7 linked regions of the Rattus norvegicus genome follow. The protein of the gene in region 5 interacts with the protein of the main gene of each other region in a biochemical or structural test. Links are inferred from orthologs where the notes say so. Each region holds a gene or a part of one and is shown on either strand. Other genes may lie near its edges. The genes, in order: Numb, Junb, Mlana, Wbp2, Itch, Nfe2 and Ndfip1.

Region 1 (4,200 bases), on a different chromosome or scaffold from region 5:
AGCCACAGGAAGGCCTTTATTCCAAGACCTTGTGTTTGAGAACATAGACTTCCTTAAAAAAATCTATTATCGTAGCTTTGCATATTCCGGGTGGAGTTGTGGAGAAGGTATATTTAAACTTGACTTAGAAACTGAGAGAGTAACCAGGCCAGCATTTTCTTATTTCGGAGTAGGAAAAGCGCTGAAAAGGAAAAAGGAAAGCAGAGAGAGCTAATGACGAATGCATTTCTAGGAGCAGAATTTTTATAGCAACACCAGATTTCTCAAAAAATGCCTACTGAGATTTGTACCCAAATGAATAAGAAGTGCAATCATTTATTTTCGTGTATTGTACCAAGTGATGGGGGGAAAAGCCCTGCGATTCATTCAATGGTCCTAATTTAGACTGCTAAGAATAGGAGAGGTAGAAAGAGAGCGAAAGGAGAAAGGGAGAGAGGAGGGACGGACGAGAGAGAGAGAGAGAGAGAGAGAGAGAGAGAGAGAGAGAGAGAGAGAGAGAGAAAGAGAGACACACACACACAGATTGATTGATTGATTGATTAGTATCTGGCAGACAGCTAGTAATACAAGAACTCCTAAACTTAAAACTCAGGTAGTGCTAGGAAGTGATAGTGGGCGCGTGAACTTCTTATTTCCAAAGCACTATAAGGATAAATTGCTGCCCATGTTTTCAAATCTTGATGGTTGTTTGGTCACTTGGCAGACCCAGGAGAGTGGGTCTGGAAGCTGGGAAACTCTTAAAACGACAGACACAATTATAAATATTATTTCTTGACGATATTTATAAATGCAATGGAAACAGACTGCTGCGCTCTGCCCTAACCTTAAGCGTGGAGACTACCGGAAAGAACTTCAGGGAAACTTGAAGAAAACACGAGGGAAATTTTAATCTATGAGATACCTTTCTGTTGAGGAATGGGACCGTTCTTAGACACAACCCCTGAAGTCGTTCCCTCCTTAAGCTGGCAGAGATGTTTCCCCTTTTAGGAAGAGAACCAGAAAAGTAAGAGTTTACTGCGCCAGCCCCACAACAAAGAGTTAACCCTTCCCGGTAACCTCGGACGTGAGCATCTGCCCCTTCTTTGCTTCTACTGCGCAACCAAACTGTGCACGGGGCTTGAACCAACCGCGGCCAGCACACTCCTTGCCTGTTAAGGTAACAGACACTATCAGTAGCCTATCATAACTTCGAACTGCCCAATCATCAACCAATTACAACTAAAGCACGATCTAGGCCGGTCCAGGTCCGGGCGGGGGCGAAGACTCGGTCCAGGAAAAGGGGCGGTAAAGACAGGATGACAGGCAGGAAGAGTCAACCAATCATAGCAGAGAGCCGCCGCCCCTCCAGCCAATGGATAAGTTGGAAGTGTGGGATGGGGCGGGCCTGTTGTCATGGGGGAGGTGGTGGCGCTTGGTGACTACTGGCGGCGGAGGTAGAGTCTGAGGCGCCGGAGTTGTGCAGGGCCAGCGGCAGGTGAGTGCGGGCGCGGCGGGCCTGAGGTGCGGAGGCGGTGGCGGGCCGGAAACTCTAGCTGTGCGCTCCGGAGGCAGAGGCCGGGGGCCAGGGCTGCGGGCCCGGGTGCGTCGGGGTCGGGCGCGGCGGGAGATCGGCCGGGTTCCTGCCGTCGGAGTTCGCGCTGGGAAGGTAGGTTGGCGTGGGACTCCGGCGGGGGCAGGCCGGGAGGTCCCTTGGGCTGCCCAGAGGCAGCCCTGGGTACAGTGACGGGAGCCTGTGTGTGTGCGGCTTCCTGAAGAGACCCGAGCGGCGGGGGTCTGCGAGTGGGGGCGACCCGGAGCAAGTGGCCCCGGGGCCGGAGAGACGAGGGGATACCGGGGTTTCTCGGTGCTCTGGGAGCCTAGGGGGCCGAGAGAACTGGGAGTGGCCCCTGTCGGAGAGTGGTGGGAGGTGAGGAGACCGAGGGTGGCGGGGGTCCGGGGTGACAGGGAATGGAGGAAAGGCGCCGAGTACGGTGCGAACCCCCGTGAGAAGGGCAGCTGTCGGAGGAGGAAGGGTCTGCGGGGTGGAGACCTTGAACGAACTCCTCCGGGGAGGGACCGCGGCGCCCTGCCCCCCACAGCGGGTCTGGGACTGGAGTCTGGACTGAGGGAGGACCCTCAAAGTGACGGCTTCGAGTCGCACGAGTTGGGATTTGAGACTAGGATAAGGGTTCAGCGGCAAAGTGGAAGTTCCCCTTAAGCAAAAAGGGTTGGAGGTAAGAGGGGAAGAGTAATTTCCCTGGAGGAAGGGAGTTAAGAGAGATCTGGGGAAACTTGCCCGGGAGTGGGTGAGTGGTCTTGTAGTCTTGTGGAAGCTGGCCAAGCCAGTGGATCTGAGAATTTAACAATGGTGCAAGTGAGGGCTTCCGAAAACAGGAGAAACTAATTATTACTAATATGCCAAGCTGGACCAGAGACTCCGTCCTTAAAAGCAAGGTTACAGTGTCTTGGAGGCTAGGGCTTTAGAAATAAGTTTTAGGATGACAGCGAAAATACTGGAAAATAAGAACATCAACAGGATGGGGAATTTGAGAGGAAAGGGGAAGGGATAGCCGAACTAAAGGACTTCTGTGACTTGATCAGATAGAGGGTATTCATGAAGCGGATAGGCATGCCCTGCTAAATTGAAAATAACTTAGAATTCTTGTACTATTACTTCTCTGGTAATACTAACAGTTTTTACTGAGAGGGATTTAAATTGTATTTATTTTATTATTCATTCATACGTTTTTCAGAAAGGGTCTTGCTCTGAAGCCCTGGTGAGACCAAGCTCACCTTGAACTTATAGAGATCCCTCTGCCTCTGTCTCCTGAGTGCTGAGACTACAAGTATTCCAAAAAAGTTGTGTGTGTGTGTGTGTTTTTTTTTTTTTTTTATGAATTTGTAGAATTTTTGGAGTGGTGACTGGTGCAGAACTCAGCACTGGTTTGTTACATAGAAAGATCCAAGACTGGAAACACCTTCCTACAGGTTGGTTGGCTCCACCTGAGATTTCCGATCCAGAAGGCCCAGGGGTGGGGTTCAAGAATTTCTCCCAAGCGATGCTTAGTGTTCTTCAAGGGATCATATTCTGAGAACAACTTGCTTTAGTGAAAAGTAGTAGCAGTCAGAACCTTAAAATACTAGAATACCTGCCCATCTTGCTGAAGAGATGAGAGAGAGAACACATCTTATTATAAAGGATACCCCCCCAGTACTGTGGGTGATATTAAATATCTCACACATGCTAGGCATGAGCTCTATAAAAAGTGCTACTCCCCTAACCCAAGAATTTTTTTTTTGAGATCTTAAAAAAATGGAATATTGAACATAAAATAGAATATACTACTTGATAAAGAAAACTCTTGTTTAGGGAAACTTCTTACATATATTTTAAGTCACAGTGTAAAATCTTTGTCTTACAGTCAGAAAAGTTTGACAAACTATTTTGAGTCACAGCATGGGAGAAGCATCCCTTCAATATTAAGGAATTAAGTTATTTATTTTGTGGTAGTTCTCAGGTGGTGATACAGCAGTTTGAATTACTGTGAATTGTGTTGAGGCTCTGATTCTGGGGAACTTTTTTGGATCCCTTGAACCTGGCATGCTCACTTACAGGGAACGTGAGGCAGAGAAACAGTGGTGTTCCTCAGATGGCCCTCTGCAGCTTCACCTGTGCCCTCCTGTTGCCAGTTTTCCTCTCTCTGTACTGAGAAGACATATTAACATTGATCAACTAACTCAACATTGAACTGGTTTAGAATATTTCATGTATAAAGGATAAATAAGCACAAAAGTAAACATTGCAAGAGAGAAAAATGAAAGGATAGCTTAATTTTAGAGGCTAATCTCAGCACTCTGACATCTGAGGCAGGAGGATTGCTGGAAGGCAGTGGCCAGCCTGAGCGAGAGAATAAGACCAGGCTTTAAACAACAAAACCAAGGAGGGAGAAAGGAGAGAGAAAAAATACTGATGGGGTAGAGGCTCAGCTACACTTGTGGGTTGTGAAGGAGCTTTTGTTTTGTGGATTTTATTTTCCTGAGAGTGAAATGGGTTCAGTATATCTTGTATACTTAACTTGTCTCAGGAAACTAAATGTAATTTACAGTATTTAAAGCTGTATTTAAAGTGTATATGAATGTTTTGTCTTATTCTTAGAACAGTGTTTTTTCTTTACTTTTTTTTTTTTTTGAGCTGGGGACTTTTTCTCTTGAAAACCAGAT
Region 2 (3,530 bases), on a different chromosome or scaffold from region 5:
GTACTCAGCTGGATTGTGACTTCCCCAGGGGTCGCTCGCTGGGGTTCCTCTTCCCAGGCGCAGAATTTGGCAGGCCCAGGCTAGGGTGCACCAACCCTTAGGCTCAGAATGACGAGACAGGGCCGGGCTCTTTCCCCCTCCGGGCTATTGCCACACTTCCTGCCTCGGCTCTTTTTCCCTAGCCTGTTTCTAAGGAAGGGAGTGGGGTTGGGCGACCGCACCCCAGCTATCCCGCCTCTTCGGCCCTCCAAAAGCTGACAGGATATCGGGCGAGCCCAGAGTGACTAAGGGGAGGCTTTGGACTCAGGTACAGGGTATGTCAGTGCCTAGAGACCACTTACGAGGTACAGTCTCATTCTTACAAGCCCCTTGTCTCTGGGATCCTCCAAGTCGTCCTCTCGGGTAGATCTCAGATACCCTCCTGGCATCGCCTTTACAGCTCAGAAGGAAGCCATGTCCTGACCATTTTAACTTTCCATCAGAGTTCTGCAAATAATCACAGTGACCCCAATCTTTGCTAGATATGTTCCCATCTTCTACTCCTATTGCCTCAGCGTTTCCAGGACCCTTGTTCACTTTCTGCATATCTAAATTGACCTCCCCAAAATTACTCCCCTTTTCCACTTATGGGAGAACCCTCAGACTCATCTGTGGGCTTTAGAGCCCCTACTCATTTCTTATACAATAGGTACCTGACCCTGCTTCCTGAACCTTCTCTCCCACCTGTTCTTTAAGCACTTTGCACTCGGGGCCTCTAGTTAATTCCTAGGTCAAATGTTAACAATTGCTCCCGTTTTGTACCTTCCCTGTTTTCTGGGGTCTTCTAGTATATTGTCAGTTCACAAGTCACAGCTATTGTGGGTCCCGCGAGACTATTCCGGGTATATCCTGAGGCACCCCATCTCCACTTGCAGTGTACAGAGATCTCATAGCCACCGGGTTGTACTCCCGCAGTCCTAACTCCTATGTGCCTCGGTCCCTCAACATCCCTTTGCTTGAGTGTCTCTGTCTCTACAGCCCCTCCCCCTGCAGCCGCGCAGAGCCACCGGGCTCGTGGCCGCTGTTTACAAGGACACGCGCTTCCTGACAGTGACGCGAGCCGCCTCCTCCCCTTCCCCACGCTCTAGGAGGGGGCCGCGGGGGCCTGGCTCCCGCGTCGGCCAATCGGAGTGCACTTCCGCAGCTGACAAATTCAGTATAAAAGCTTGGGGCTGGGGCCGAACACTGGGGACCTTGAGGGTGGCCAGGCCAGCTTTGGATCCTGCAGGGAGCGGGGAGCTGAGAGAAGAGACGCTGAGAAAGCGGGCGCACCACGGAGGGAGAGAAAAGCTCCAGAAGCCGGGCAGCGCTTTTACGCACAGCTACCAACTGGCCGCTGCCGACCGTCTCCAGCTCCCGAGGACGCGCGACCGGACGCCGGGTCCCGCCACAGCCGAGGACAGCTCGCCGGTCGCCGCAGCGAGGCCCGGAGCGGCCCTTCAGGGGGACCTTTCCCAGATCGCCCAGGCCGCCCGGATGTGCACGAAAATGGAACAGCCTTTCTATCACGACGACTCATACGCAGCGGCAGGATACGGTCGGAGCCCTGGCAGTCTTTCTCTTCACGACTACAAACTCCTGAAACCCACCTTAGCGCTCAACCTGGCAGATCCTTATCGGGGTCTCAAGGGTCCTGGGGCGCGGGGTCCAGGCCCAGAGGGCAGTGGGGCAGGCAGCTACTTTTCGGGTCAGGGATCAGACACAGGCGCATCTCTGAAGCTAGCCTCCACGGAACTGGAGCGCTTGATCGTCCCCAACAGCAACGGCGTGATCACGACGACGCCCACGCCTCCGGGACAGTACTTTTACCCCCGTGGGGGCGGCAGCGGCGGAGGTACAGGGGGCGGCGTCACCGAGGAGCAGGAGGGCTTTGCGGACGGTTTTGTCAAAGCCCTGGACGACCTGCACAAGATGAACCACGTGACGCCCCCCAACGTGTCTCTGGGCGCCAGCGGGGGTCCCCAGGCCGGGCCTGGGGGCGTCTATGCTGGTCCGGAGCCGCCTCCGGTCTACACCAACCTCAGCAGTTACTCCCCAGCCTCTGCACCCTCTGGAGGTTCCGGGACCGCCGTCGGGACTGGGAGCTCATACCCGACGGCCACCATCAGCTACCTCCCACATGCACCACCCTTTGCGGGCGGCCACCCGGCGCAGCTGGGCTTGAGTCGCGGCGCTTCCGCCTTTAAAGAGGAACCGCAGACCGTACCGGAGGCACGCAGCCGCGACGCCACGCCGCCTGTGTCCCCCATCAACATGGAAGACCAGGAGCGCATCAAAGTGGAGCGAAAGCGGCTGCGGAACAGGCTGGCGGCCACCAAATGCCGGAAGCGGAAGCTGGAGCGCATCGCGCGCCTGGAGGACAAGGTGAAGACACTCAAGGCTGAGAACGCGGGGCTGTCAAGTACTGCCGGCCTCCTACGGGAGCAAGTGGCGCAGCTCAAGCAGAAGGTCATGACCCACGTCAGCAACGGCTGCCAGTTGCTGCTAGGGGTCAAGGGACACGCCTTCTGAGAGCCTCCCTTGCTCCATACGGACACCCCCAGCCTTGAAGGCTGGGCGCCCGCCCCCCACTGGGGTGAGGGGGGCAGGCGATGGGCACTCGCCCAGAGGTCTGGGGCGCAGCTCACACACTGGACTCTGGCCTGCCCGCCTGCGCCCAGTCCTTCCACCTCGAGGTTTACATGGCCCCCTTCCAGCGTATTTTGTATGTTTTTTTTTTCTGGAAAGAGACTGAATTCATATTGAATATAATATATTTGTGTATTTAACAGGGAGGGGAGAAGGGGGTTGTCGCGGCGGAGCTGGCCCCGCCGCCTGGTACTCAGCCTGTGGGGATACTAGGGAGGAACCTCCGCCCCCTGCCCTCCCCCTCTGCACAGTACTGTGGAGAAGAAACACGCACTTCGTGTCTAAAGTCTATTTTAAGATGTGTTTGTGTGTGTGTTTGACTTTTTATTGAATCTATTTAAGTAAAAAAAAAGTCTTTATTAATTTCTGTGGTCTCTTTCTTCCAAGCTGGGCGGATGGAGGGAGAAGATTGGGCTGCCCCAAGCCCGGGGCAGTTTGTAGTTCTCTCCTTTCGGGTATCTTAAGGTCCAGTACAAGCGCTCAAACCTCCCATCCCCTGAGTCCTGGCACCAGACGCTGCGCAGGCAGGCAGTGGCCGAGAACAAGCTATCCAGGCCCAGGACAAAACCCGGAATGTGCAAGCACGGCCCCGCCCAGCCCCGTGCGCCGGGGCTTTCCCCGCTGACGTTACGGAAGCGCTGCCCATATATGGGCCTATTCAGCTCAGTGACGCCAGCGCGGTCTCCGGGCAGATTCCGGGAATCCCCTCCCCCTTCTCTGCCGGGCAGGGCCGCGGCGCCGGGAAGGGGGCCGGGATTTTCCCGGGCAGGCGGCTTTCTGGGCGCGGAAAGCCCCAGGCCGGGGTCCAGGGCGCCCGCGGTGGGAGGGCTGTGCTCTCCGGAGCCCTGGGAGCCACCCGAGCG
Region 3 (2,153 bases), on a different chromosome or scaffold from region 5:
TACTGTGGGATCCCTTTAGAACACAGAGCACCGTGGTTAACATTGTCCAGCAGAAGCAAGTTGTTTTAAACCTGTAACGGGATCCTTTCTGAACAGCCCATAACATCTGTGGCAATTCTGCACAGCTCACACTGGCCAATAGGTTGCTTTTAAAAGCTGAAGAGTAGTTTGAAAGCTAGCTGCGTTTCATTTTAGGAAGCAGGAGAAAGTCAGAAGAGGTGGCTGCATTGTTAAAAGTGCTCCCTGCTCCTTCAGAGAACTCATTTAGTTCCGGCACGCACAGGAGGCAGCTCAAAGCCTCCTGTAACTCCGACTCCAGGGAATCTAACAGTTTCCGGCTTCAGCAGGAATCAGCATGCAAATGCACATACATAAATGTGGGCACACATAAAGATAAAAATTTCTTTGCAAATCAGAGGCTCCCTGGTCATCCAGGTGAGTTCACCCCTCAAAACAATGCTAACAATGATGATTTAATGGCATTGCCACTGGGACAGATAATATACGTTGAGATATTTATTGACGCTTTTCCAAGGTTAATATTTCTCACCATTCCTCGCCACCCTTCTGCTTGCCCTGCCAAGAATTTAACCCTGGCCTGTTAGTATAGCTGTACATTCTATAGCATTCTAAAGCAAAACATGGGCATCTACTCAGCCTTAAAGCGAAAGCATGAAGGAAACTTTCAGAATTCTTAGCAGCTTCTCGGCTCTCAGGGTGAATATGGTGGTGGCGAGTGGTCTGAAGAGAGCTTCTCATAGGCAGGTGGAGCGTTGGGAACCTGTGAGGAGGAGAGAGGAGCAGCATGTAGACTTGGCAGCGGTGTGCATGGTCTGGGGGGGGAGGGGCAAGGCAGTTTGCATTGCATTTATGCTTTCCCTGTGGACTGAAGCTTCTAAACGTTTGTACAGATTTTTTCCTCCAATGGAGTAATTGTTAAATTTTACCAACTTGTATACTGAAATGTTGGAGGGAAGAGAAAGAGACAAAGATATTCCCAAAATTGAAAAGTGTATTTATGCTCAGATTGTCCCTCAGAATCTCCAAGTCCTAATGAAATAATTGGGTTTTATTTATTTAGCCATCTTGTTTATGGGGGCAGCACCGGTGCCATAGCCATGTGGAGGTCGGAGGACCATTGCGGGGGATGGGTTCTCTCCTTGGTTCAGGTGGGTCTCAGGGACCAACCTCAAAGTTGTCAGGCCTAGCAGCCCTGAGGCAACTCACCTACCCATGGATTCTGGAATCCTGAGTACCACTCAACAAACACTTCATCTTCACCACATGGGTCCCTGTTAGTTGTGTCTAAAAGCACATGTAGGACTTGGGGGAGGGGCATTGATGATACACATCATTAAAAGGCAGAGTCAGAGAGGCACTTGGACCTACCAGCTGAGCACAGTGTGCCAATCATTCAGCTAAGGAGTTTTCTCCAGGGGAAAAACCAAGGCATAAAAACAGCACTTGCCCTAGCTCACAAACAGGAAGTCATGGCGCTGAGACACAGCCCCGCTGTCTGACTCCAGAATCAACGCCATGCATTACTTTGATATGCCTAAGGTACAGGAGTGAATGCAGCAGAAATGCATGCAAGTTCCGTGCAGAACTTAAATGCCCAGTAACCTTTTCCCAACTAGGGTTTCAAGTGTTAAACACATGTGGTTGTGGCTCAGCTCTACAGGGGAAAATGTTCCCCTGTCTCTGACATGTAGGACTCTCATTGGCTGTAAAATCTAAGTAAAAGAGGACACAGCTTTAAAAAAAAAAAAAACATTTCCCATGTTTGTTTTTGTTTGTTTGTAAAATATACAAAACAAGAATTACCGTTCTGACCTGAACGGGGGAGGGGCAGGTGTGTGGCTCGCATCCAGGGCCTCCTGCATGCAAAGCAAGGGCTATCTTTGAGCTCAGATGCTAGTCCTAATCGTGAGCATTGCCATAGGTCAGTAACAGTTTAGTGACACTGAGTAGACTCAAGATTATGCTTTAGTAGAAATCACTTTGTTTACTTGGGCTGAAAGCAGCTGACATGAAAGTGCCCAGATGCACAATGGCCACATACCACAGGTTGGTGGTTTTTTTCTTGAGAAGACAGTCGGCTGTCTTGGTGATCAAGACTCTCACATAAGCATCTTTCCCTGGAGGTATTTTGA
Region 4 (2,980 bases), on a different chromosome or scaffold from region 5:
TAAACTACCATCCAGCCGCCATTGTAAATCACCCAGTGCTGGGCTCATTCTCATACTCCCTCCCCCCCAGCACAGCTCTCCCTCGCTTCCTCTGACGCCTGTCCTTGACCCCACCATGTTGCCCTTTGGCCTTTTTTTTCCACCCTCCCCTCACCACATGGTGACCTAGGCAGACCCCTTGGGGTGGGCAGTGGAATGGTGGTAGGGCACATCTGTGGGCACAGTCCTGGGGCCCATCAGTCCCTGGAGCAGGTGACACTCATGCCTCTCTCCCCTTGTACTTATAGCCTCCAGAGGTGAAGTCCCCAATGGAGCCTATGGGTACCCTTACATGCCCAGCGGGGCCTATGTCTTTCCCCCACCAGTCGCCAATGGAATGTACCCCTGCCCTCCTGGCTACCCCTATCCACCGCCCCCACCCGGTGAGTGTGTCCTCTGCTGCCCAGACTCAGCCTCCGCACCCACCCACTAACCATACCTTCAAGCTGCCGAGGGGAGATGTGCCTTTCATGCTTTAGGCCTAACAGACACTGGAGAGTTTAGAGGGCACTCCAAGGAACTAGATAGGACAGCCACTCCAGATGTAGCCTTATGAGGGACCCAAGTAGGCCGCTCACTGTCTCTGTCGCTCTCTTCCCAAGCAGAGTTCTACCCTGGGCCTCCTATGATGGACGGGGCCATGGGATATGTACAGCCCCCACCACCACCCTATCCTGGGCCCATGGAGCCTCCCGTCGTCAGCGGCCCCAGTGCCCCCCCTACTCCTGCAGGTGAGGCCCCCTCAGCTTCTAGCTGTCCTTCAGGGCCAGCCCTCTCTTCCCCAAGATCTTACAGAGAACTCCACACAATGGCTGGAGACTACTGACCCTCGAGTGACGAAGGGCCTGGGTTACAGACCACCCAAGGGCATCAACAAGCGGTAGCCTGGTGGTGAAGAGCTATATTCCAAGGGCTGGGTGTGGTTCAGTGAGCACTTGCCTGAATGGGGTGGCCTAGGTTCTATCCCAGGTGCCACAGAACACAAATCTGAAGGTACAATGAGATGAGGCCTCTGCAGCTCCTTGGCTTGTGGTGGCTTCTTGGCTTGTGGTGACCTTTTTGGACCCAGACGGTCACCCTCTGTGCCTCGGTGTTCTCATCTACAAATGATCCTAGGAACTCAGGTGAGGGTGAGGAGAGGCTTACTGCTTGTTGCCGTCTCCTGTGTGTTTGTGTTCACAGCTGAGGCCAAGGCTGCAGAAGCCGCTGCCAGCGCCTATTACAACCCGGGCAACCCACACAATGTCTACATGCCCACGGTGAGTTGGCAGGAGACCGCCTTCTCAGTCACGCAGGCTGGGAGCTGGTGTTGGAAGCGAGCACAGAGAGTCCTATGATGTCTCATGGGAGCTTTGTGCTTTTTTCTCTAGAGCCAGCCACCACCACCACCCTACTACCCTCCAGAAGACAAGAAGACCCAGTAGACCCTGCCCACCTCCTGCCTCTTACCTGAAGACCCCTTCCTGGGCCTCCCATGGAGCTGCATCTGGGATTCCAGGAGGCCAGGGAAGGCCCTGTTCTTCCCCAGGCCTAAGTATAAAGTTAGCAGGAGCTAGCCCTGATAGAAAGGTGGAACTCCTGGCCTCTGAGAGGGTCCCAGCTTCCCACCCTAGCTCAGCTCTCAGCGCTGTTCTACCCAGCCTCCCTTTAACCATCTCTGGAGCTCACAGGAGCACGGGGTAACCCCTTGTTCCTCATGATAGTGGACACACACACACACACACACACACACACACACACACAGAGGGACTCTCTGGCCACTCCTCTACTGCTGTCCAGCCCCTTGAGCCTGGTGACCATTGTTCTTCATCTCTTGGGCTCAGAAGACCAGCCTCGTCTCCCACAGGCCCTGCCCAGTCATGTTCACATTCCTTCCCCTTCCTTCCCCCCCCCCCCCCCCCCCCGCGTGTGCCTGGCCCTGGAAGGCCGCTGTCCCAGCAGACAGTCACACTCACCCGGCCTCGCTTGTTCTTTCTGTTGCTTCCAGGGATTTTACCTGGAGCTTCCAGTGGCTGGCATCAGAAGCAAAGCCACTGTGGCAGAGAGGAAGCCCCTCTGCCCCTCCGCCCCCCTGCCCCTCCATCCCTCCGCTGGTGTTTCTGGGGATTATTCACTCTCCTTTTCCCTTCACAAGGGCCTTCTCTGCAGGAGCGATAGAGAATGCATGTCTGCCCCATTGGGCCTTTTGGTCTGGGATTCCTCCAACCACATGACCTATACCCCAAGCCCGCCTCTCCATGCGCTTCGCCCCCTGGATGCACTAAGAGTTGCTCTCGTTTGTTCCTGGTCTGGATGCAAAACAAGGAGATGGTTATTTAAAGAGAATTCCTATTTATTTGACACAAAAAGTCCAGTTAATATATTAATGTGAAATAAACCCTGTTTGCACCTTGATTTGTTTGCTACAACTGTGAAATAGTAAAAAAAATGAAGTGACTGGATGCTCACTTGACTCCTGTGTGGTGACCAGGGTGAGGTGGCTGCTGGGGGCGGAGCTAGAAGCCAGCTTCCTCCTCACTGAGTCTTAAGAGTGTTCGTGTGGCTCTCAGTCTCCTTAACAGAGGCACCGCACCTGTCTGGGATGGTGCGTGTGCCACACACTGCCAGCGGGGGACAGGAGAGAGGCCTGTGTCCCATCTGCTGCTTCCAATCCCCTCCTGAGCAAGGCATGCCAGGACTAATGTGAGGGAGAGTTGCTGGGCTGGCTACCATGGTGTGTGCCTCCATGCTGCCTTACCTAAAGAAGACGACCTACCGTGGGAATAAAGCAAAGTCTTTAGCCGACCTGTACCCCGCACCCCGCTCGAAGTGAGCCAAAGAGCTGTGGGAGATTCCAGTGCCGCAGTGTCCTCTCCTGACCAAAATGCTCCCATGTGCAAAGGCTGCTCCAAGGCCTCGCCACCTCTTCTGCCACCACCCCCGGGGGCCTCAGGGCTAGTGA
Region 5 (4,170 bases):
GTCCCATAACCCTCTCCTCCACTGCTTTCTGTGCACTGAACCCCTTTTCTCCCACATCCCTCCTAAACCACACACGCCTCAACGTCTTGAGGCGTTTCCTTCGGCACTACCTTCCCTTTCTTCACCTGTCACATTCCTACTCATCCTCCAGAACAGCGGCTCTCACCCTTCCTGACGCTGTGACCCTTTAATACAGTGCTCCATGTAGTGGGGACCCCAACCATAAAATTATTTTTGCTGTTTCTGCATGATTATAATTTTGCTACTGTTATGAATACAATGTAAATATTTTTAGAGCTAGACATTTGCCAAAGGGGTCAAAACCCTCGATTTGAGAACCACTACTCTAGAACTTCAGGTCCATAGACAAAATCTTTTTTGAGCCAGGGCCCACTATGTAGCTCTGATGGGCTGGAACTCACTATGTTGCCTCTCATTGACAGGTCTTGCCACTCCCCTCAACAATTCCCACACTGACCACTTCCACTCTCTCTCCTATCTCAAAGCTTTCTGTGCTGTCCTTGTTATAACCATACTATTATTTGCCTCAGTGTTCCCAAAACCATCCCCACTACCTACAGCACATTTGTAATAAAGTGAGAGAAGCCAATGCAGATCCACTAATCAATCTCAAAAGTGAGACCTGAGAACGTCTACTTTTTAAAAAGGGTCTCGAGCAGCCCAGGCCGGCCTCACCTCCCAATGCTGCTGAGAGTTAAATAAACTCTGGCTCTTGTCTATGGTAAACAAGTGCTCTACCAACTGGGCTGCAAACTCTACTTTCAACGATCTCCTGGTCCAGCAAAATAGTTCAACAGAAAGCCACTTGCTACACAAGTCCGATGACCTGAGTTTGAACCCTGGAACCCACAGGAAAGAGGAAACACTCTTGAAGGTTATCTTCAGACTTCCAACTCAAGTCATGGTGTGCGCACGCACACATACACACACAAATAAACAAATCTAAAAATTTCTCCTGAGCCCATTCTGATGGTATGTACCTATAATCCCAGCACAAGGGAGGGAGAGGCAAGAAATCAGAATGTTTGATGCCAGTCTAAGTTTACTACAGTGTGTTCTAGTCCAGTCAGAGATACATAGCAAATCATGTCTCAAAACAAAAACAAAAAACCCAAAAGCTGGGGTTGGGGATTTAGCTCAGCGGTAGAGCGCTTGCCTATCGACCGCAAGGCCCTGGGTTCGGTCCCCAGCTCTGAAAAAAAGAAAAAAAAACAAAAACAAAACAAAACAAAAAAAAAAAAACCCAAAAGCTCTTGTAACTGTGCTAATGGACAAATTCTGGGACCATGGATCAGTCTGTCTCTTAAGTAAAGCTAGTTTTTGTTTTGTTTTTTTTTTTTTTTTTTTTAAAGAATGTAGAACTTACTCTAGAATACAATAAAAAGGTATTAGGCACTTGCTTTTGGTTTCATAGTATATCCTTGTTGACATCTATTCTAAAGTCTGAATTCCTGAACTCATGCACACAAAGTATATTCACTGTTCAAAAGAGAATTTCAATCTTTCCTAAACGTGCAAAATTAAGCCTTAAGTAAACCTGTGATACACAAGGTTGAATTTCAAATGTGTCCCCTAAAAGACTTTATTTCAGATGAGAACGGAGCCCTTTGCCAATCCTGGGAGTGAACAGACACGGTCTTTACCTACTTTCATAAGATAAGGAGACAGGAGAAACACCCACTTAAGAGAACAATGATGGGGGGCTAGATTGTGTTCTGTCAACTTTGAAGAGGAAGAAAACCTCACTCTTCTCCCCCAATGCTCCCTTTAGAGAGAGTTCACTGCAGCTCTTAAAGAGCAGAAAACTGAACAGGATTAGTATTCTAACACAGTCAAGAAAACAAGTGACTGGGGAACCGTGAATTTTGGGTACTTTGCAAGTTCACCTGGTCACATCTCTAATTGGGGCCCAATGTCTACTTCGGGTGCACTGACCCTTTATATATATTTTTTCTCTTTTGAAGTTGCAGCCAGGAACTAAGTCTCAAAACGCGAGTCTTCTATTTAAAAGTCCTGCCCTCATCAGGCTTCCACCTTTCAAATACGCTCACCTCTACTTTTTTTTTTCCCAAAGAAAAGTACGCTCTCAGTAGGAAGGACTGTGACAGCTCCACGTCTGCAAAAGTCGGCGGCGCCGGCCTGGGCCGGGACCACCACGAGTGGGGACAATGGAGGGAGGAGGGAAGTACAAGACAGAAGGGGAGGCAGTCACTGGGGAAGGTCCTCCGCGAGTGGGAGCTTGGAAAAGTCTCGGGGGAGCCTGCCAAGTGGCAGGTGGGCCCGGCCGCCGCCCCTCAAAGGGCCACGTCGCGCGGGCGGGCCGCTGCCACCGGGCCCCGCGCGTAGGCCGAGCCGCAGGAGAGGAGCCCCCGGGCGCGGCAGCGGGGCGCGGGGCTGGACCCTACCCACGTCCGCCGCGGCTCGGCTCTCTCCCAACTTGGGGCTTGCGGGTCCACAGGCTCCGGGCGCCTAGGCCAAGCACTAGCAGTTCAGCTCGACCTGCTGACCCACCCGCCACCCGGCTCCGGCCACCAGCCCGCTCTCCGGGCGCCCCCCACGGACACCGGCTGTGGGAAGAGCAGCCCCGGCTTTAGGTCTCGACTCGAACGCAACACTCCTCTACCCTTCGCATTCTCCATGCCTTTTCATCCAAGCTCCCTCCAAGCCACAGAAATGACCCCAGTCTGCCTGCGGGTGTTTACCGGGACTCGGGGCGGCGACGACTCCTCAGTCCCTCCGCTAAGATGGCAGCCGGTCCCGAGCCCCGACTACAGCGACTAGAGCTAGTTCACACTTAGTGCGCAGGCGCGTCCTCTTAGACGCAGTCCGGACTACAAGCCCCAACAGGCTTTGCGCGCCAGCCTGCTAAATCATTTTTCCTCACCTCCAGGTGAAGTGAATTTAGCCTTGCTCTCTACATATCCACGGCTTTTTCTTTTCTTCCTTCTTTTTCTTCTTTCCTTTCTCCTTTCCTTTCTTTCTCCCTTCCTTGTTGCTTCCTTTTAACCCCTTCTTCCCTGCCAGAACCTCAAAAAACTGTTACCAAACGCTAGGGTGTCTCAGAATCATTTGACCAGCTTTTAAAAACAGACTGCTGATCTCCACCACCAGTTTCTGACTCAGTAGATCTGGCATGGAGTGCGGGGTGTTGGGGGGTGTTTTACAATTTGCATTTTTAACAAGTTCTCTATTGATACTCCTGACAGCAGGAATCACAATTTAAGAAGCACTGTGCGGGTTCTATCCTTCTGGAGTTACACTGACTGGGTTCAAATTCTCCTTTCTCCACCTTTTGACAGGGCGTTCTTAGGAGGGTGACAGTTTGACGGCGCCAACGCGGCCTGAATTCTAAAAACTGGAAAGCATACTTCCTAACGTTTACAACAAAACTGAGAAAAATGTCTGTTGTTACCTTTTCAGATGCTTACATTAAACCGCGTGCAGGAAAATCGCATCTAACCCAGGCAAATCGCATCTAAGCCTATCCCCAATCTCCTTCATGGAGGTGTTTGTGAGAATTAATAGGCTGTGCAGTAGTAGTAATAGAGGTACTACTTAAGCACTTAAATAATTAGCAGACTTTGCTATTAATGTTTATCCTGTCTCCTCGTAAGGAAACCATCTAGAAAGTCACTTACACTTTTTGAAATACCTTTGAAACCACCATATTATGAATTACATGCCGAGGGGTTGGGGATTTGGCTCAGTGGTAGAGCGCTTGCCTAGCAAGCGCAAGGCCCTGGGTTCGGTCCCCAGCTCCGAAAAAAAAAAAAAAAAAAAGAAAAAAGAAAAAAGAAAATGAATTACATGCCGAGAGAGTTTATTAAACAATAACGATTCTGAGTTGGAAAGATGGTCCAGTGGGTAAACACTCTTGCCGTGCAAGCACAAGGATGCTTGAATCTCGGCATTCATGTAAAAGCTGGCACAGACCCCTTTCCCCCAGCACTGGCGGGCAAACCTATGAGCTCTCTAGTCGACCCGCTTAGACTACACAGTAAGCTTCAGGTTCAGTTAGAAGACAGAGACAAATGGGTTCACGGTTAGCCAGGCCTAGATATCTTGAGATTTCTGGACCAACTAATGTTACATGATGAAACCCTAAGTTTGGGTTTGGTGTGTGGGGGCGGGGTGTTGCTTTTTTAAGTA
Region 6 (2,426 bases), on a different chromosome or scaffold from region 5:
CTAGTAAGGGCTTCTCCTGATAAAGAAGACTCTGTAGCCAGTTCAATGTGAGGTTGTCTTCTCTGAGGGTCTCAACAGTGACTTTTATTCCTGCTTTTTTTTTTTTTATCTTTATTAACTTGAGTATTTCTTTTTTCTTTTTTCTTTTTTTTTGGTTCTTTTTTTCGGAGCTGGGGATCAAACCCAGGGCCTTGCGCTTCCTAGGCAAGTGCTCTACCACTGAGCTAAATCCCCAACCCCAACTTGAGTATTTCTTATTTACATTTTGATTGTTATTCTCCTTCCCTGTTTCCCGGCTAACATCCCCTTAACTCCATCCCAACTTTTATTCCTGCTTAAACAGCCTTTTCCTCTTCATAACCCCAAACCCCCCTTTCCCTATTTTGATACAGGATTTCTTTGAGTAGTCTCAGTTGTCCTGGAACTCATTCTGTAGACCAGGGTGGCTTTGAACTCAGAGATCTGGTTGTCTCTGTGTCCAGAGTGCTGAGATTAAAGGTGTGTCCCACCATGCCCAGCTTCTTTCTTTTTCCCAGAGTTTCTCTATGTAGTCTTGGTATTTACTGTATAGTGCAGGCTAGCCTAGAACTCAGATTGCCTTTGCCTCTTGAATGCTGGGATTAAAGGGGTTTACCACCACTGTCCAGCATAGTCTATCTTCTAAGCCTCTTTTTTTTTCTCTCTTTGCAGGGTCTAAATGTTCCAAGTGAGCCATCTTTTGAGCCTCAAGCACCCACCCCATACCCTGGGCCACTGCCACCTCCAACATACTGCCCCTGTTCAATTCATCCAGATGCAGGCTTCACCCTTCCTCCACCACCTTATGAGCTCCCAGCATCCACTCCCCATGCTCCAGACCTCCCATACTCCTATGGCAACATAGCCATACCCGTGTCAAAGCCACTTACCCTTTCAGGCCTGCTCAATGAGCCCCTCCCAGACCCCTTAGCTCTCTTGGACATTGGGCTGCCAGTGGGGCAACCCAAGCCCCAAGAAGATCCAGAATCTGACTCGGGATTATCCCTCAACTACAGCGATGCAGAATCTCTTGAGCTAGAAGGTACAGAGGCTGGCAGGCGGAGGAGCGAGTATGTGGACATGTACCCGGTGGAGTACCCTTACTCACTTATGCCCAACTCTTTGGCCCACCCCAACTATACTCTTCCGCCCACTGAAACACCCTTGGTCTTAGAGTCATCCTCCGGTCCAGTGCGGGCTAAGCCTGCTGTCCGTGGGGAGGCAGGGAGTCGGGATGAGCGGCGGGCCCTGGCCATGAAGATTCCTTTCCCTACGGACAAGATAGTTAACTTGCCGGTAGATGACTTTAATGAGTTGTTGGCACAGTATCCGCTAACGGAGAGCCAGCTGGCTCTAGTTCGGGACATCCGTCGGCGGGGCAAGAACAAGGTGGCAGCCCAGAACTGTCGCAAGAGAAAACTGGAAACCATTGTGCAGTTGGAGCGAGAGCTGGAGCGGCTGGGCAGTGAAAGGGAGCGGCTCCTCAGAGCCAGAGGGGAGGCTGACCGCACTCTGGAGGTCATGCGCCAACAGCTGACAGAGCTGTACCATGATATTTTCCAGCATCTTCGGGATGAATCTGGCAACAGTTATTCACCAGAGGAATATGTACTGCAACAGGCTGCTGATGGGGCCATCTTTCTGGTACCCCGTGGGACCAAAATGGAGGCCACAGATTGAGCTGGCCTAGAGGGGGTGGACACTGGTGCTAGGAACTCCCCTCATTCCCTTCTGATAAAGGTACTTCCCAATCCCCAATCAAGGCTGAGTTCTCCAGACCAAAAGACCATTTGGAAGTTCAAAGATGTATTTGAGGTTTGCCTGGAGGCCAGGTGAGTGTTGGCTTCTCAGGTCCCCACCTCTACCTCTTGTCCAAGCTTTGGTCCATAAAGAGCTGTGTGGAAATAGCTTTCCATTGTGTCTTCTTTGAGGATCATGAAGCTAAACTGTCTCAGAAACCGCTGTTTATTGGAGATAAGGAAATCCTAAGCTCATTTAAAGCATACATAAAATTAGGGCATGAGCAATTTGACAATCCACCTGCCTTCACAGCAGCTTCCAGAGTCAGGAGCCCAAGTGCTTTGAGGAACTCCTGTCCTTGGTGGCCCCCTTATTTCATAAATGCCAAGAGCTGCTGTATCCCTCTGTGGAAGGTCTCTGGAAAACACACACACTCCTGATAGATTCACAAACTTTTTCTCCTGCTTACTTTTCACTCTGGGTCTGAGAGGCCAAAGATCTTTTGAAGCCTAAGTGACTGGATTGTAAAGTTTGAACAAGCACTCAAAAGTTGAAGGCATTTCAGTCACACCTTAGTAATGTCCCACATTCAGGCATGCATTGTACCAGAGCCTCAAAGCTAGGCAACTGAAAAGGCTACAAACCAATCCTTGGTTAAGACAACTGCT
Region 7 (3,500 bases), on a different chromosome or scaffold from region 5:
CACCAAAGGAAGTCAGGACTGGAACTCAAAGCAGGAGTCAGGAACTGATGCAGAGGCCATGGAGGGTTGTTACTTACTGGCTTGCTCAGCTTGCTCTCATAGAACCCAAGACAACCAGCCCAGAGACAGAGGGCTGGGTCCTCCTTCCCGTGATCACTAGTTGAGAAAATGCCTCACAGCTGGGTCTCATGGAGGCATTTCCTCAACTGAGGCTCCTTTCTCTGTGATAACTCCAGCTTGTGTCAAGTTGACACACAAAACTAGCCAGTACACTCCTGTTCCAGGGGATCCAACACCCTCACACAGACATGCAGTCATAAACACCAATAAAATAAAAATAAATTTAATTTAAAAAATAAGAATAGTAACTAAGACTATGAAATAAATAGTTTAGAAGGAAGGCTCTGGAGATACTAAAATGATTGTATCTGCTCTAAGTTGCTGAGCGTTAACGCTCATAGTTCTGAGTTGAACCAGTAATAAATGCACTCTTAGATCCTTGTGTTTTTCCGGATGTCACTCCTTTGTCTAGAAGTAATTCATTATGACCTTGTCTCATTCTTTTTCCTTCATGTAGGATGAAGATTTTGTGGGTCGGGATGATTTTGATGATGCTGACCAGCTGAGGATAGGAAACGATGGGATTTTTATGTTAACCTTTTTCAGTAAGTTTGTACACACCAGGCACTCCTACAGACCCGAGTGCTCTGAGTTCATCAGTGGAAAGGATGATTAAAGCAGTTATGGGGCTGCATCTGTACACAACACAGGTCAAGTCCAATCTTCCAGGGTCCACTGCTGTCACACCCGCTCATACCTGTGTGGCCGAGTGAGAGTGCCAACTTTGATAGGTTTTGTCCTGTAAACGTCTATTTTTCTGATAGATCAAAGTCAATCTGGTTTCCCACTTTTTATGTTGTCTTATATTTATGTTTTTATGTTCCTCATTTAGCAATGGGCACTTTTTATTTACTCTATTAAAAGCACAGAAAGTGTAATGCAAAAGAAGGGATGCCAAGAGCTGTCAGAAAACAGCAGGAGGATGAGAAACTTGAATCACATTCCTCTGGGAGCTCCAGTTTAATTTCCAAAGCGTTTAGTTTACTTATTAACCTGTATGGCAGCAAAGACAGAAACAGGTTGTTGGGCATTGACAGCAGCACCATGGAGGATAAAGCAAGAGACTCAGAGTCTTTTCCTTTGCTCTTGAGGGAGATGGAATAAAGAGCGGCGCCTGTGGGGAGGCGGAGGTGGGCTGTCCAGGTGAAGCTGTCTTTCTGTCCTTGAGAGCCACACAAGCAGAGGCTGCTGCAGCGTGCACTTCTAACACACCTTTCCCTCCACTCTTACAGTGGCATTCCTCTTCAACTGGATTGGGTTTTTCTTGTCTTTTTGCCTGACCACCTCAGCTGCGGGAAGGTATGGGGCCATCTCAGGATTTGGTCTTTCTCTAATTAAGTGGATCCTTATTGTCAGGGTAAGTTGCATAGCAGAGAACATAGATTGTGAAGAGAGGCAGTAATTAGAATGACTTGAATGTTGTCATTTTTGCCTTTTGTTATTTCGACATGTAAAGTGATAATTTGGTTTGTCTTTGTTCTGTTTCCACGATAAACTGAGCTAAAATCAATTGCAGAGTTCCTGTCTCCATATTTCATGTTCAAATTCAAGCAGGTGATCTATCTTACAGGTTGTTTTGATGCTTAAAATATGCTAATGAATGTATAGTCTGGAGTTTTTATAACACAAAGAGTATTTGCAATCTCACAAGAGGTAGGCATCCTTCACGTTAATTCTCTTGAAATTTTAATCTCACAACTTTATTTATCTTTCTTTAATTTTTCCTACTAGGACTGAGGTTAAGTATTTACTGCTCCATAGGGAATTTCTTTTAATAAAATTATAAAAATGTGTGTCTTTAATATAAGAATACCCAGGTGAAATTACATAAAATACTTTAAATTCTAGAACATCTAGGGGTTTTTTTTTTTTTTTCTTTTTTCTTTTTTCTTTTTTTTTCGGAGCTGGGGACCGAACCCAGGGCCTTGCGCTTGCTAGGCAAGCGCTCTACCACTGAGCTAAATCCCCCACCCCACATATAGGGTTTTTAAAAAACAAAATTAGCTTTAATTTATTCAAAGTCACACAGCTATATAAAATGGCTTCAAAGAGGGAGCCAAAGTCCACAAGATGCTTGGCCTGGGTTTCTAGAAATTCTTTAAGCCCAAAATATGCATATGCTCAGTCTCCTAGAACTCAGGGCTTGGGCCCTCCCAGTGTTATCAGAATACTCCTTGATGGAGTGCCTGATCTCGACGGAGCTGCTGTGAGAGTTGAGGATTTGATACAAAGTATACATTAAAAGTTCAGATGTTTCTTGGTGGTAATGATGATCACCTTTAATCCCAGCACTTGGGAGGCAGAGACAGGCTGATCTACAGAATCTCAGGATAGCCAGGGATACACAAGAGAAACCCTGTCCTAAAAAACAAAAATAGAAAGCCTGATGTTGAATCAGGTTCACCAGTGGGTTCAATAAAGTATACTTTGCTGCTACACATAGGCAACCCACACTGTAATCCCAGCAGAGATGGGTGGGTCTGTGAGTTTAATCCAGCCTGTCACATAGTGAGTTCCAGGCCAGCTAGGGCTGTACAGAAAAGGCTGTCTACAAACAAACCAAGTCTCCTTTGTCTTCAGATGAGCTTGTTGCTATTGTCAACCTGTCTGGCAAAGCCAGATTACTATAATTCGGCATATCGTGGCTGGGAAGATGGTTCAGTAGATATGAGCACCTGCTTTCAAGTGTGAGGACCTCAGTTGTCCCCACCCACATAAAAAGATAACTGTCCAAGTCTGTAACCTCCACAGTGCTGGAAGTGGAGATGGGCAGGGCCCAGAGTCTGCTGGCCAGCAGTTTAGTCCAAAGGCAAGTGTCTGGTTTAGTGAGACCTTGTCTTGAGGAGATTAGGTGAAGAGTGGTAGAAGCAGACATCTGATGTCCTGCTCTGGCTTCTGTTGTGTGTCAGAACACAGGTACATCTTTCATTGTGCATGGCATTACACATAAACAACACACATAAGTAATTAATGGATGTTAATTGTCCATTGCAGTTTTTCACAGCAGTTCTAAAGAGCTCATTAGCTATTTTGGGAATCCAAAATCCTTTGAAAATTAGATAATTGTGGGCTTTTCCCTGGATAGCTAATTTATATAGCTAAAAGCATGGACTTTAAGGAAAATAAGAAAAGAGTCAAAACTCGTGGACTTTTAAGACCCAACTGCAAGAGAAGTTGTTCCTTCTTTTTAAATTTTATTGTTAACTTTATTAATAAATAAAATATTAAGATCTAGGGAAAGTCCTTGCCACAAAATTGTGATGTCCTAAAACCTATGTAAAAGCCAGATGTAATATAGTACATGGTTTGTAACACTGGTGCTCCTGTGGGGAGATAAGAGGCAAAGAAGACTCTCTGGAAGGGAAGCAGGTCAGCTAGTA

The links.
Region 1: the proteins of Itch (region 5) and Numb form a complex in vitro, tested with the Homo sapiens proteins (3 studies listed by BioGRID). The link is inferred for Rattus norvegicus from reciprocal best matches to the Homo sapiens genes ITCH and NUMB.
Region 2: the proteins of Itch (region 5) and Junb form a complex in vitro, tested with the Homo sapiens proteins (2 studies listed by BioGRID, with this or other methods). The link is inferred for Rattus norvegicus from reciprocal best matches to the Homo sapiens genes ITCH and JUNB.
Region 3: the proteins of Itch (region 5) and Mlana form a complex in vitro, tested with the Homo sapiens proteins (2 studies listed by BioGRID and IntAct, with this or other methods). The link is inferred for Rattus norvegicus from reciprocal best matches to the Homo sapiens genes ITCH and MLANA.
Region 4: the proteins of Itch (region 5) and Wbp2 form a complex in vitro, tested with the Homo sapiens proteins (2 studies listed by BioGRID). The link is inferred for Rattus norvegicus from reciprocal best matches to the Homo sapiens genes ITCH and WBP2.
Region 6: of the proteins of Itch (region 5) and Nfe2, one has a biochemical effect on the other in vitro, tested with the Homo sapiens proteins (2 studies listed by BioGRID, with this or other methods). The link is inferred for Rattus norvegicus from reciprocal best matches to the Homo sapiens genes ITCH and NFE2.
Region 7: the proteins of Itch (region 5) and Ndfip1 form a complex in vitro, tested with the Homo sapiens proteins (2 studies listed by BioGRID). The link is inferred for Rattus norvegicus from reciprocal best matches to the Homo sapiens genes ITCH and NDFIP1.

What each region holds. Positions count from the first base shown.
Region 1 is NC_086024.1:109,281,664-109,285,863, reverse strand, and holds the start of Numb (protein numb homolog), read left to right. Parts: upstream 1-1,400; 5' UTR 1,401-1,474; intron 1,475-1,480; exon of another isoform or gene 1,481-1,645; intron 1,646-4,200. UniProt on the Homo sapiens protein: Regulates clathrin-mediated receptor endocytosis. Plays a role in the process of neurogenesis.
Region 2 is NC_086037.1:40,079,881-40,083,410, forward strand, and holds Junb (transcription factor JunB), read left to right. Parts: upstream 1-1,245; 5' UTR 1,246-1,515; coding exon 1,516-2,550; 3' UTR 2,551-3,030; downstream 3,031-3,530. UniProt on the Homo sapiens protein: Transcription factor involved in regulating gene activity following the primary growth factor response. Binds to the DNA sequence 5'-TGA[GC]TCA-3'.
Region 3 is NC_086019.1:236,895,228-236,897,380, reverse strand, and holds the end of Mlana (melanoma antigen recognized by T-cells 1), read right to left. Parts: coding exon 2,063-2,153; intron 782-2,062; coding exon 713-781; 3' UTR 501-712; downstream 1-500. UniProt on the Homo sapiens protein: Involved in melanosome biogenesis by ensuring the stability of GPR143. Plays a vital role in the expression, stability, trafficking, and processing of melanocyte protein PMEL, which is critical to the formation of stage II melanosomes.
Region 4 is NC_086028.1:101,810,808-101,813,787, reverse strand, and holds the end of Wbp2 (WW domain-binding protein 2), read left to right. Parts: intron 1-287; coding exon 288-422; intron 423-641; coding exon 642-770; intron 771-1,221; coding exon 1,222-1,298; intron 1,299-1,409; coding exon 1,410-1,463; 3' UTR 1,464-2,480; downstream 2,481-2,980. UniProt on the Homo sapiens protein: Acts as a transcriptional coactivator of estrogen and progesterone receptors (ESR1 and PGR) upon hormone activation. In presence of estrogen, binds to ESR1-responsive promoters. Synergizes with YAP1 to enhance PGR activity.
Region 5 is NC_086021.1:164,104,426-164,108,595, reverse strand, and holds the start of Itch (E3 ubiquitin-protein ligase Itchy homolog), read right to left. Parts: upstream 2,801-4,170; 5' UTR 2,724-2,800; exon of another isoform or gene 1,348-2,723; intron 1-1,347. UniProt on the Homo sapiens protein: Acts as an Acts as an E3 ubiquitin-protein ligase which accepts ubiquitin from an E2 ubiquitin-conjugating enzyme in the form of a thioester and then directly transfers the ubiquitin to targeted substrates.
Region 6 is NC_086025.1:136,260,734-136,263,159, reverse strand, and holds the end of Nfe2 (transcription factor NF-E2 45 kDa subunit), read left to right. Parts: intron 1-690; coding exon 691-1,698; 3' UTR 1,699-1,926; downstream 1,927-2,426. UniProt on the Homo sapiens protein: Component of the NF-E2 complex essential for regulating erythroid and megakaryocytic maturation and differentiation. Binds to the hypersensitive site 2 (HS2) of the beta-globin control region (LCR).
Region 7 is NC_086036.1:30,551,525-30,555,024, forward strand, and holds part of Ndfip1 (NEDD4 family-interacting protein 1), read left to right. Parts: intron 1-577; coding exon 578-665; intron 666-1,352; coding exon 1,353-1,477; intron 1,478-3,500. UniProt on the Homo sapiens protein: Activates HECT domain-containing E3 ubiquitin-protein ligases, including NEDD4 and ITCH, and consequently modulates the stability of their targets. As a result, controls many cellular processes.